Neodiprion lecontei: one gene and its partner. The protein of the gene in region 1 binds, or shares a complex with, the protein of each later gene. Links are inferred from orthologs where the notes say so. Each region holds a gene or a part of one and is shown in the gene's direction. Other genes may lie near its edges.

Region 1 (3,935 bases):
TTACACTTGAAGTAATGGTAGCAATTTGTGAAAAAATTAGGAAAATGTGTTTGATTTTGTTATTCAATGGTCTTACCAGCATCAGACGCAGTATTTGGCTTAGCATAAACAGAGTTTAATGGGAAACCGGCTTCTCCTGGAATATCAAATTTGGAAATAGCCAAGGTGTACATCTCATTGGTTGCCTGATTTTTGTTTGCACATTTCTGTAATTTCTTCAAGCATTCAGTGATGTACAAAGTGATGTAAATTAAGACTCGGTCAGCTTCGCTCTGTAGAATATTTAAGGGCGAAGAAGTGGTAGTAATATAAGTGTACAGTACATACATTACTTAATGTAACTATACAAATTAAAAAATTACCTTAATTTCGTAGGTTCGAAAGAAAACATTTGCTTTAAAGAAATACAAAGCTTCGTCTATTATATCTAATTCTTTGTTACTGAATGACGGTGCTGGTCCTCGAAACTGGGTTTTGAACGGTAGCAATGCCATGTTGCCAACCGTTTGGTTATTTTCTAAAAAACTTGAATGATATGCCTGAAATTTTATGCAAAATTGGTATGATAATGTGAAAGTGAGAAAGTCTATCAATAGTAGAAAAGCAAAACACGTCAGAATTTATTGACACGGTAATAGCATGTTGACAGTTAAATTAGGTTAGGTAAAATTATAGTCCGTGATTTACTTCAAGAGTAAATCTGAAGTGATCTTTGACTATCAACATCTCGTTAGTAGGTCGATTGGATCAAGGTCAACGACACTGTTAAATTGTGACCCCGTGTTATGATTCATGATATCAAAGGGATACACCCATTTGACAGCTCCTGAATGCGGAAAACCAAATCGACAATTTCAAGACAGAAATAAGTCTTGTATTACTAATTTGAGTAAATTGAAAAGGATAGACTCACAGGCATGTTTGACAGATACTTTTTCGTAGATTGATTATCTTCTTAAACATGAAATTAAACGCCGCAAGGGTGGAGAAATTATTACAGGCAAACTATAATCTGGTGGGGTCTGGCCAGATATCGCTATATCATGTATGTCAGTAGTGGAGTTATACTGTCGCAATACGTATAAAACCGTAAAAGTCACACATGCGCAGAATGCCTCTACCAATCTTGCTGAAAGTCACGTGACTATCACACATGTGCATTAGGGTGTTCGTTGAAAGAAATATGCTTAGCTGCCCGCAGCACTCCGCTGGTGGCCGCGAGTCGAATCTTTGGAAAAAGCTGAAACTCCAATTCAAATTTGATTGCAATGACCAGAAAATAATTGACGTTCTACAATTATCAACGCATCTCGTAAAAAACGAATACGGCATTGTAGTTTACGTGATTTCAATGCTAAGTTTACAAATAATATTGTTTTCCACATGTGTTGGAGCACGTCAATTATTTATTTTACATTTGAATCAAATTCGAATCAGAGTTCGTTGACTGAAGATATACCTATATCACGTATACATATATATATATATATATATCTGAAGTGACAAGAATCTGTACAAAATGGATACCGTTCAATTGGCGTGACGGCACCACGCGTGTATATATATATCAGTGGTGCGAACTGGCGGCAGCGTCGAAAAACAAAAAATGCACCGTAAGCGTATTTCCCCCACCACGCAACTTTTGATGAGTTTCAAGACCTGTATGTAAGACCGTGCTTATGGCAACGCTAATGAAGTGGTGTACTAAAATTGCAAATGCGTAAGAAAATATACTCAAACATTGACGTATCAAAAGACACAGAGGACGATAGATAATCTACGATAAGCATATATTTGTTGCAATTTTAATATTCATGATAATAAACAACAGTTTATTGGAAACTAGATCTACTTTGATTTTTAAAAAAATCCAATTGTGCAGGTTTTCGCGCCATACGGGTGGCCGACATGAGAGAAGATCATAAAATCGCATATAAATTGAGTATTGCGTGGGATATACGGTTACGATAATGACATTTAAAATATTCTACGCATCATTAATGGTACGTTTTAATATAATCCAATAATACGATAACCTTTGTTCAAATACGATATCTTACGTCCCTGGAATAATCGGCGCCATCTTTAGGACTTGGAAATAGCCAAAAGAAAGAAGAACTAGAAGAAGTATAAACGCATTCCATGCTGACAGTTGTGGATGGACTGAGGGTGATCGAGGGTTAACAATCGTTAACAAGATAGTTGTGGGTTAATCACCGGTTGTACAATATCTAATAAAATGGCAGCGACGGAGTTGAAGAAAGAAGAGGTCCGACAGGCTGTTGTTCTAGCAGATGACTTCTCCACAAATTTACATCCCATGCAGACGCTCTACCCAAGTGCGTTGATGCCGGTTTTTCATATTCCACTTTTGGAATACCTGACAGAAACTTTAGTGAGGAACGATATACAGGAGTTATTTTTGTACTGCAGTAACCACGTTGAATCTTTGAGATCGTACGTACAAAGTCAAAATTACAAGGGTCTTATCAATGTACATTTAATCGTCTCTGATGGCTGCCGTTCGCTTGGCGATGCTCTCCGAGACATCGACAGCAAAGGTATCATTCGCGGCGACTTCATCCTGATCAGAGGCGACGCTTTCACCAATGCCAATCTAAAGAGGCTTCTCGACTGGCATCGATTTAAGTCAAAACAAGACAAAGGCGCTGCGATGACGCTGATATTCCGTGATTTAGGATCTAACAATTTTCCGGTGAAAGAAAACAAAACTTGTCTAATTGCCGCTGATAACTCGAATAACAAAGTTTTGTTTCATCAAAAACTCTCAGAGAAAGACAGAAAAGTCAAATTGGAATTACAGTTGTTCTTGGATCACGATTGTGTCCGAATACACAGCGGTTTACTGGAAACTCATATTTACCTTTGCTCAGCGTCGGTGCTTCCCTTGTTTTCTGACAATTTCGATTTTCAGGTAAGTTCTTTTCAGAATCACATAACTCTGCTGAAAAAGTTTGATGTGATACGCAAGCTTCTAATACGATATTATAGAATGGGTTTAGAAATACAATAGACTTGTCAGTTTGGATTGTGTTTTTGAACAAGGCTGAAGTTAGCGATGTCAACGTTACGAAACATTGAGGAAAAAGTAAATAAGTTGCAATTCCAGAATAACTTTGCAGGAATCAAGTGTTGAAAATATAATGTAACGATTTTTCTCGACATACATCGTTACAATGATACTAACGTCAAAATGTTACTCAATGATATTTTTACATCCTATTCTATGATTGTCATTAACACCTAATCGTGGTTTATTAAATTGTTTTGAAATTTTTAAACACCCTTCTAAACATTGGAATGAATTTACTATCAACTGAATGTCTTCAACATCATTTTCAGACCATGGAAGACTTTATCCGAGGAGTCTTAATCAACGAGGAAATTCTAGACTCTCGAATTTACTGGCAAAAATTAGATCCAGAAGAATACGCGCTGCCAGTCACATCTTGGAGGGATTACAATACTTTAATCAGAGACATACTTCAAAAACGTGGATATCCCCTAACCATTGAGATGATGCCAAGTTGTATGTATTTTCTGTACCTACGTAGATGTACGTATAAACACAACAGTTCGATTCTTGGGAAGGGCTGTACATTGGAACGGGATTGTGTGGTATGTCCAAACAGTAATGTGGGAGAAAACACACGCATCACAGGTTCTGTGATTGGAGAAGGCTGTAACTTGGGGAATAATGTGAGACTTGAAAATTCTTACTTGCTGGGTAAAGTGAGAATTGGGGATGATTGTATCGTTAAAAATTCAGTTTTATTCTCCGGCTGTGAGTTGGGTAATTCAGTTGAGATAGACGGCTGTATTTTGGGCCCGAAATTTAAGCTGAAATTGGAAAGTGTTCACACGGATTCCCTCATGCAAATTGATTCAAATGATTGTATCACTTACATCTCCAT
Region 2 (3,935 bases), on another chromosome or scaffold:
TACCTCTTGTACATTTTCTTTTATATCTACAAAACAAATCATTCGTATCAAGAGGCATTTGTGATAATAGAAAGAGAGGTAAAGTTAGTGTTTAGAACTGTGACGAGCAAGATATTTTTACTTTTTTCCAGATATTTACTTGTTGCTATAAGTAAGAGTATGGATATAAACTTTCAATTAGTACCGGCATTGAAGGGTTCATAATATATTCACATCTGACTTTGAAAAGCAAAGAAATTCGAGACGAATGTGATAAGAAAGTAAGTTTGAGATGCCCAGTGCTATGGTTTTCACGTTACAGTTGGAAAATAAATTTCCAGATTAGTTTGACACTGGGGAATTGTTATTGTTGGAGATATTCAACTGTTATTGTTATTATTGGTATTTTAATTGCTGTGATTATTAGACATACTGTTGTATAACATTCGAAAGTAAGATTGACAGGTTAGGGCTAGGTTACTAACCTTTTGACAGATCCAGTTGCACGGAATTGTCTTCGCCATCAAGATGACCTGCGGCAACAAATGAATTAGTTTTCGATAATGAGTTCATTCAAAATATGTGAAAAATGAGCATACTTTTATGAGATCTATTAGACCGTGAACTCCTTCCACGAATCATCCAACTAGCCATTGCTATTCACTGCCGGCCGCTATCCACAGGGACATTTAATACTTTCGTCCATTTAATAGTATCTTTAAACAAAGGATATTTCATTCTTAAAACATCGAAGTACTATCACGGCTTTAATTATTGATGAATCAAGTGTGATTTGATTCAAGTGACACACGTACGGACGTTGAACTCGACATAGTGTACTTTCGATTGTGTAGAATCTAAAAAAAAATTCTACATAGGCACGTATAGGTGCCAGAGTAAGATGGGAAAACAATCGAAGCTTTTCGCTACACTGCGATCTGTTATTGTAAAAAGCAACTACAAGGGTATTTTGTGGAAACTTCACACAGAGTGCAGCACTATCTAGATTGGCACTGTTGCACCAATTTATTCTAAATCGAGTGACTCCAAAATTCCTGAAATTTTTATTACAATCAATATTGACGTAGGACTTCTGTTACTTAATTCGATCCTGTGATTTTCTCTGCCAAAGTAGGCCGAAATACAAATCACAGCCAGCCGATCTCGCTTGTGATTGCTAGTGAAGTTCAAATTTATGCCTGACGTGGTGAGCGAAAACAATTCATATCAACGTACGTCGAAGATCCAGTTCGATAGGGTAGAAATTTGTGAAGCAAAATATTGTTGAACAAGTATTTGATATAATATGTGATGACAAATAAAAAACGTGCTATAATTGATATAAAAAGAACCCCAAACGATGTATGTATATGGCTGTAGCGTACAAAAATTACAAAGAAAGCACACATTCGTTACCAGTATTGTTTACTAACCTACAAATGATAAAGATGGTGACTATATAATACCACCTGTGATATTACACAAAAATACCTTGGCTTCACCTATCTTCAATGCCTCAGCCACGGGTATAAACAAACGAAGACAGATGGACTAATTCATTGGCACCAGAGGCATCAGGATTGGCATATTTCCACCATATTTCCGATCAGGGAAGCGTCACACGGAAGAATAAAGTATAAATAGATGGTAATTGTTCGGTGATGTCAATAATAGTTATGAGTTAACCTGTCTGTCAAGAAAATATCAATTCTCCATATTTAGTAAGTTTTTCTGAAAATGATAGAAATAGAAATTGTATGAACATCCACAATTCTTAGAATCGATACTTGTACTTAGAAGGAACATCACTCTGGTTTCCCCCTCTGATTTCGTTGCAACGCATGTATGATGTTGAACCTTGAAAATTAAAAGAAGTGTATTTAATTTATCGGCGGAAAAACGGTTTAAAAGGGTGAAATAACCCTCCAAAGTAAGGCATTTCAAGGGGCGATTTGACAGTTTCACCCGCAAGCAATCGGCTGATTTCAATGAACCGAAATTGAAAATGTTTTTCATGTTAATCATTGTGACGACTACCATACATATTGAAACAAAATAAATAAAGTTGAGGGGTGAACCGTCCCTCAATTTTTTTTGCACTCGCCATTCAAAAATCGTGGACCTAATTGAATGAAACCAATGCCATTTTATAGAAAAAACAAAATGGAAGTTCATGTATTTTTGCGTTTTTCAAAAACGCAAAGTCAAGGGAGTAAACTGCCCGCTGCATAAACTTACTTCACATGCCATCTTCCATCTGTTTAAAATGTATCTGCTGATTCAAAATATATTTGTCAGCTCATAGTTGAAGTTTCATCACATTATAAAATCATTAGGCATGTGGGAGGGTATCAAACATGTGCCAATTTATTTTGATATGGCTGATGCCATTAGATTGAAAACACGAACGTTGTGTATGCGCACTCTTGCATACTTAAAAACTACCTCTGCAAAGAGGATAGACTACCCCTCAAGTGAGGGTGGGTATCAATACTTATATTTGTACGTTAGAGAAATTTCCGTGCTTTTTTTATACGCTAGGTAAGAGCATAATTTTTAAATGGGCTCATTCACTGTCAGTTCCTTGTTTTTAAACAACGATCCATATGAACAAATTCATTAGCATTATGTCTATATGAATGATATGTAAAAATCCATTCTTCCGTTCAAAATATTTGTAGTCGGATTCAATACATATGATTTAATTTATTTTATAATATTTTCATGTTAAGGGTCTTGTTTTTACGCACGCACGTAGACAATAAAACAGAGATTCCTATTCTTTAATCACATATCGTATGGTATACAAGACATGTTAAAATTGAATGTGTTGGTAAATGATAAGGATGTTGGTGCAATATAAGAATATTATTAACTATGGGGTGGTCAGATAATATATTATTTTTCTGATATACCTGCTTTAAAAGCTCGTAACCTTTGAAAATTTTTTCATTCCATGATTGTTAATATATGTAATATTAATCATAAGAATGCAACATAAGAATATAATATAATATAAATGTAATATTTTGTAATAGCGATCAAACAAGAGTGGTTTTGGCAATTAAATTGATTTTAATTGGTAACATTTTATTTAGATCAAAACGTTTTTTCACTTCAAAAAAAAAATACATTTCTTAGTTTTCAGTATTCTACAACATACATGAGTGGCAACAAAATCAGAGGAGGACACCAAAGTGATGCTCTTTGTTAGTACTTATAATTGATATACATTTTCTTTTACTACAATGTTATTTATGATACGTATAACTTTGAATTCTTAAGCTTGATTCCATTAACATCCAAGAAAATTAATCTACAGATGAAGTGGCTAATATAACTGCTACTTTGACCACATTAAATTGTAATAGGTAATATCTCACATGGTTGTGTCATAAGTGTTTATATTTGTGCCAGCTAATAAGTAACACAGAAAAGTCAGGAAGTACTGTCTAATTATAGTAAAATTCTCGGCAACACTAAAATTTATCTAACCCTATACATTGCAGACCCTTTGCACCTGGAATCGCATGACACAACATGTGGCGCCAAATGGAATTTCAAGCTGTAGTCCTTGCTGCAGGCAAAGGATCCCGAATGACAGAATTGACAGCTAGTCGAGCCAAGTGCTTGTTGCCTATTGGAAACTATCCCATGCTCTACTATCCCCTAAAACTTTTAGCACGTAACGGGTTCATGGAAGTCATTGTTGTGGTACAAGAAGAATGGAAAAATGAAATAGCGTTAGCTATAGACAAATTGAATATTAGACTCAGATGTGATTTCGTTGGAATCCCAGGTGGGGACGATCTAGGAACTGCTGACGTCCTCCGATTAATCCATGAGAAGTTCTACACAGACATCATTGTTCTCCCTTGCGACTTGATCATGAATATCGATTTAAGTGGCATTTTCAATTCTTATAGAAGACATTCAGCAATCATTATTTCTATGCT

The links.
Region 2: the proteins of translation initiation factor eIF-2B subunit epsilon (region 1) and translation initiation factor eIF-2B subunit gamma are in contact, whole or in part, in a cryo-EM structure (PDB 7VLK), measured with the Homo sapiens proteins. The link is inferred for Neodiprion lecontei from reciprocal best matches to the Homo sapiens genes EIF2B5 and EIF2B3. Residues at the interface, in NP_003898.2 of Homo sapiens: Pro190, Val202, Arg222, Arg223, Phe224, Ala225, Phe226, Pro227, Leu228, Phe231, Gln232, Ser234, Ser235, Asp236, Gly237, Val238, Glu239, Val240, Arg241, Tyr242, Asp243; in NP_065098.1 of Homo sapiens: Arg155, Phe157, Glu178, Glu179, Leu180, Val181, Ile182, Lys183, Gly184, Leu187, Gln188, Pro191, Arg192, Ile193, Arg194, Phe195, His196, Thr197, Gly198.

What each region holds. Positions count from the first base shown.
Region 1 is NC_060261.1:15,633,442-15,637,376, forward strand, and holds the start of translation initiation factor eIF-2B subunit epsilon, read left to right. Parts: upstream 1-1,602; 5' UTR 1,603-2,003; intron 2,004-2,089; 5' UTR 2,090-2,239; coding exon 2,240-2,935; intron 2,936-3,363; coding exon 3,364-3,935. Other genes in the region: actin-related protein 2/3 complex subunit 3, read right to left, coding at 77-272, 363-539, 914-919. UniProt on the Homo sapiens protein: Acts as a component of the translation initiation factor 2B (eIF2B) complex, which catalyzes the exchange of GDP for GTP on eukaryotic initiation factor 2 (eIF2) gamma subunit.
Region 2 is NC_060263.1:38,050,762-38,054,696, forward strand, and holds the start of translation initiation factor eIF-2B subunit gamma, read left to right. Parts: upstream 1-1,413; 5' UTR 1,414-1,700; intron 1,701-3,120; exon of another isoform or gene 3,121-3,188; intron 3,189-3,264; 5' UTR 3,265-3,350; intron 3,351-3,488; 5' UTR 3,489-3,519; coding exon 3,520-3,935. Other genes in the region: rapamycin-insensitive companion of mTOR, read right to left, coding at 1-26, 465-512, 579-633. UniProt on the Homo sapiens protein: Acts as a component of the translation initiation factor 2B (eIF2B) complex, which catalyzes the exchange of GDP for GTP on the eukaryotic initiation factor 2 (eIF2) complex gamma subunit.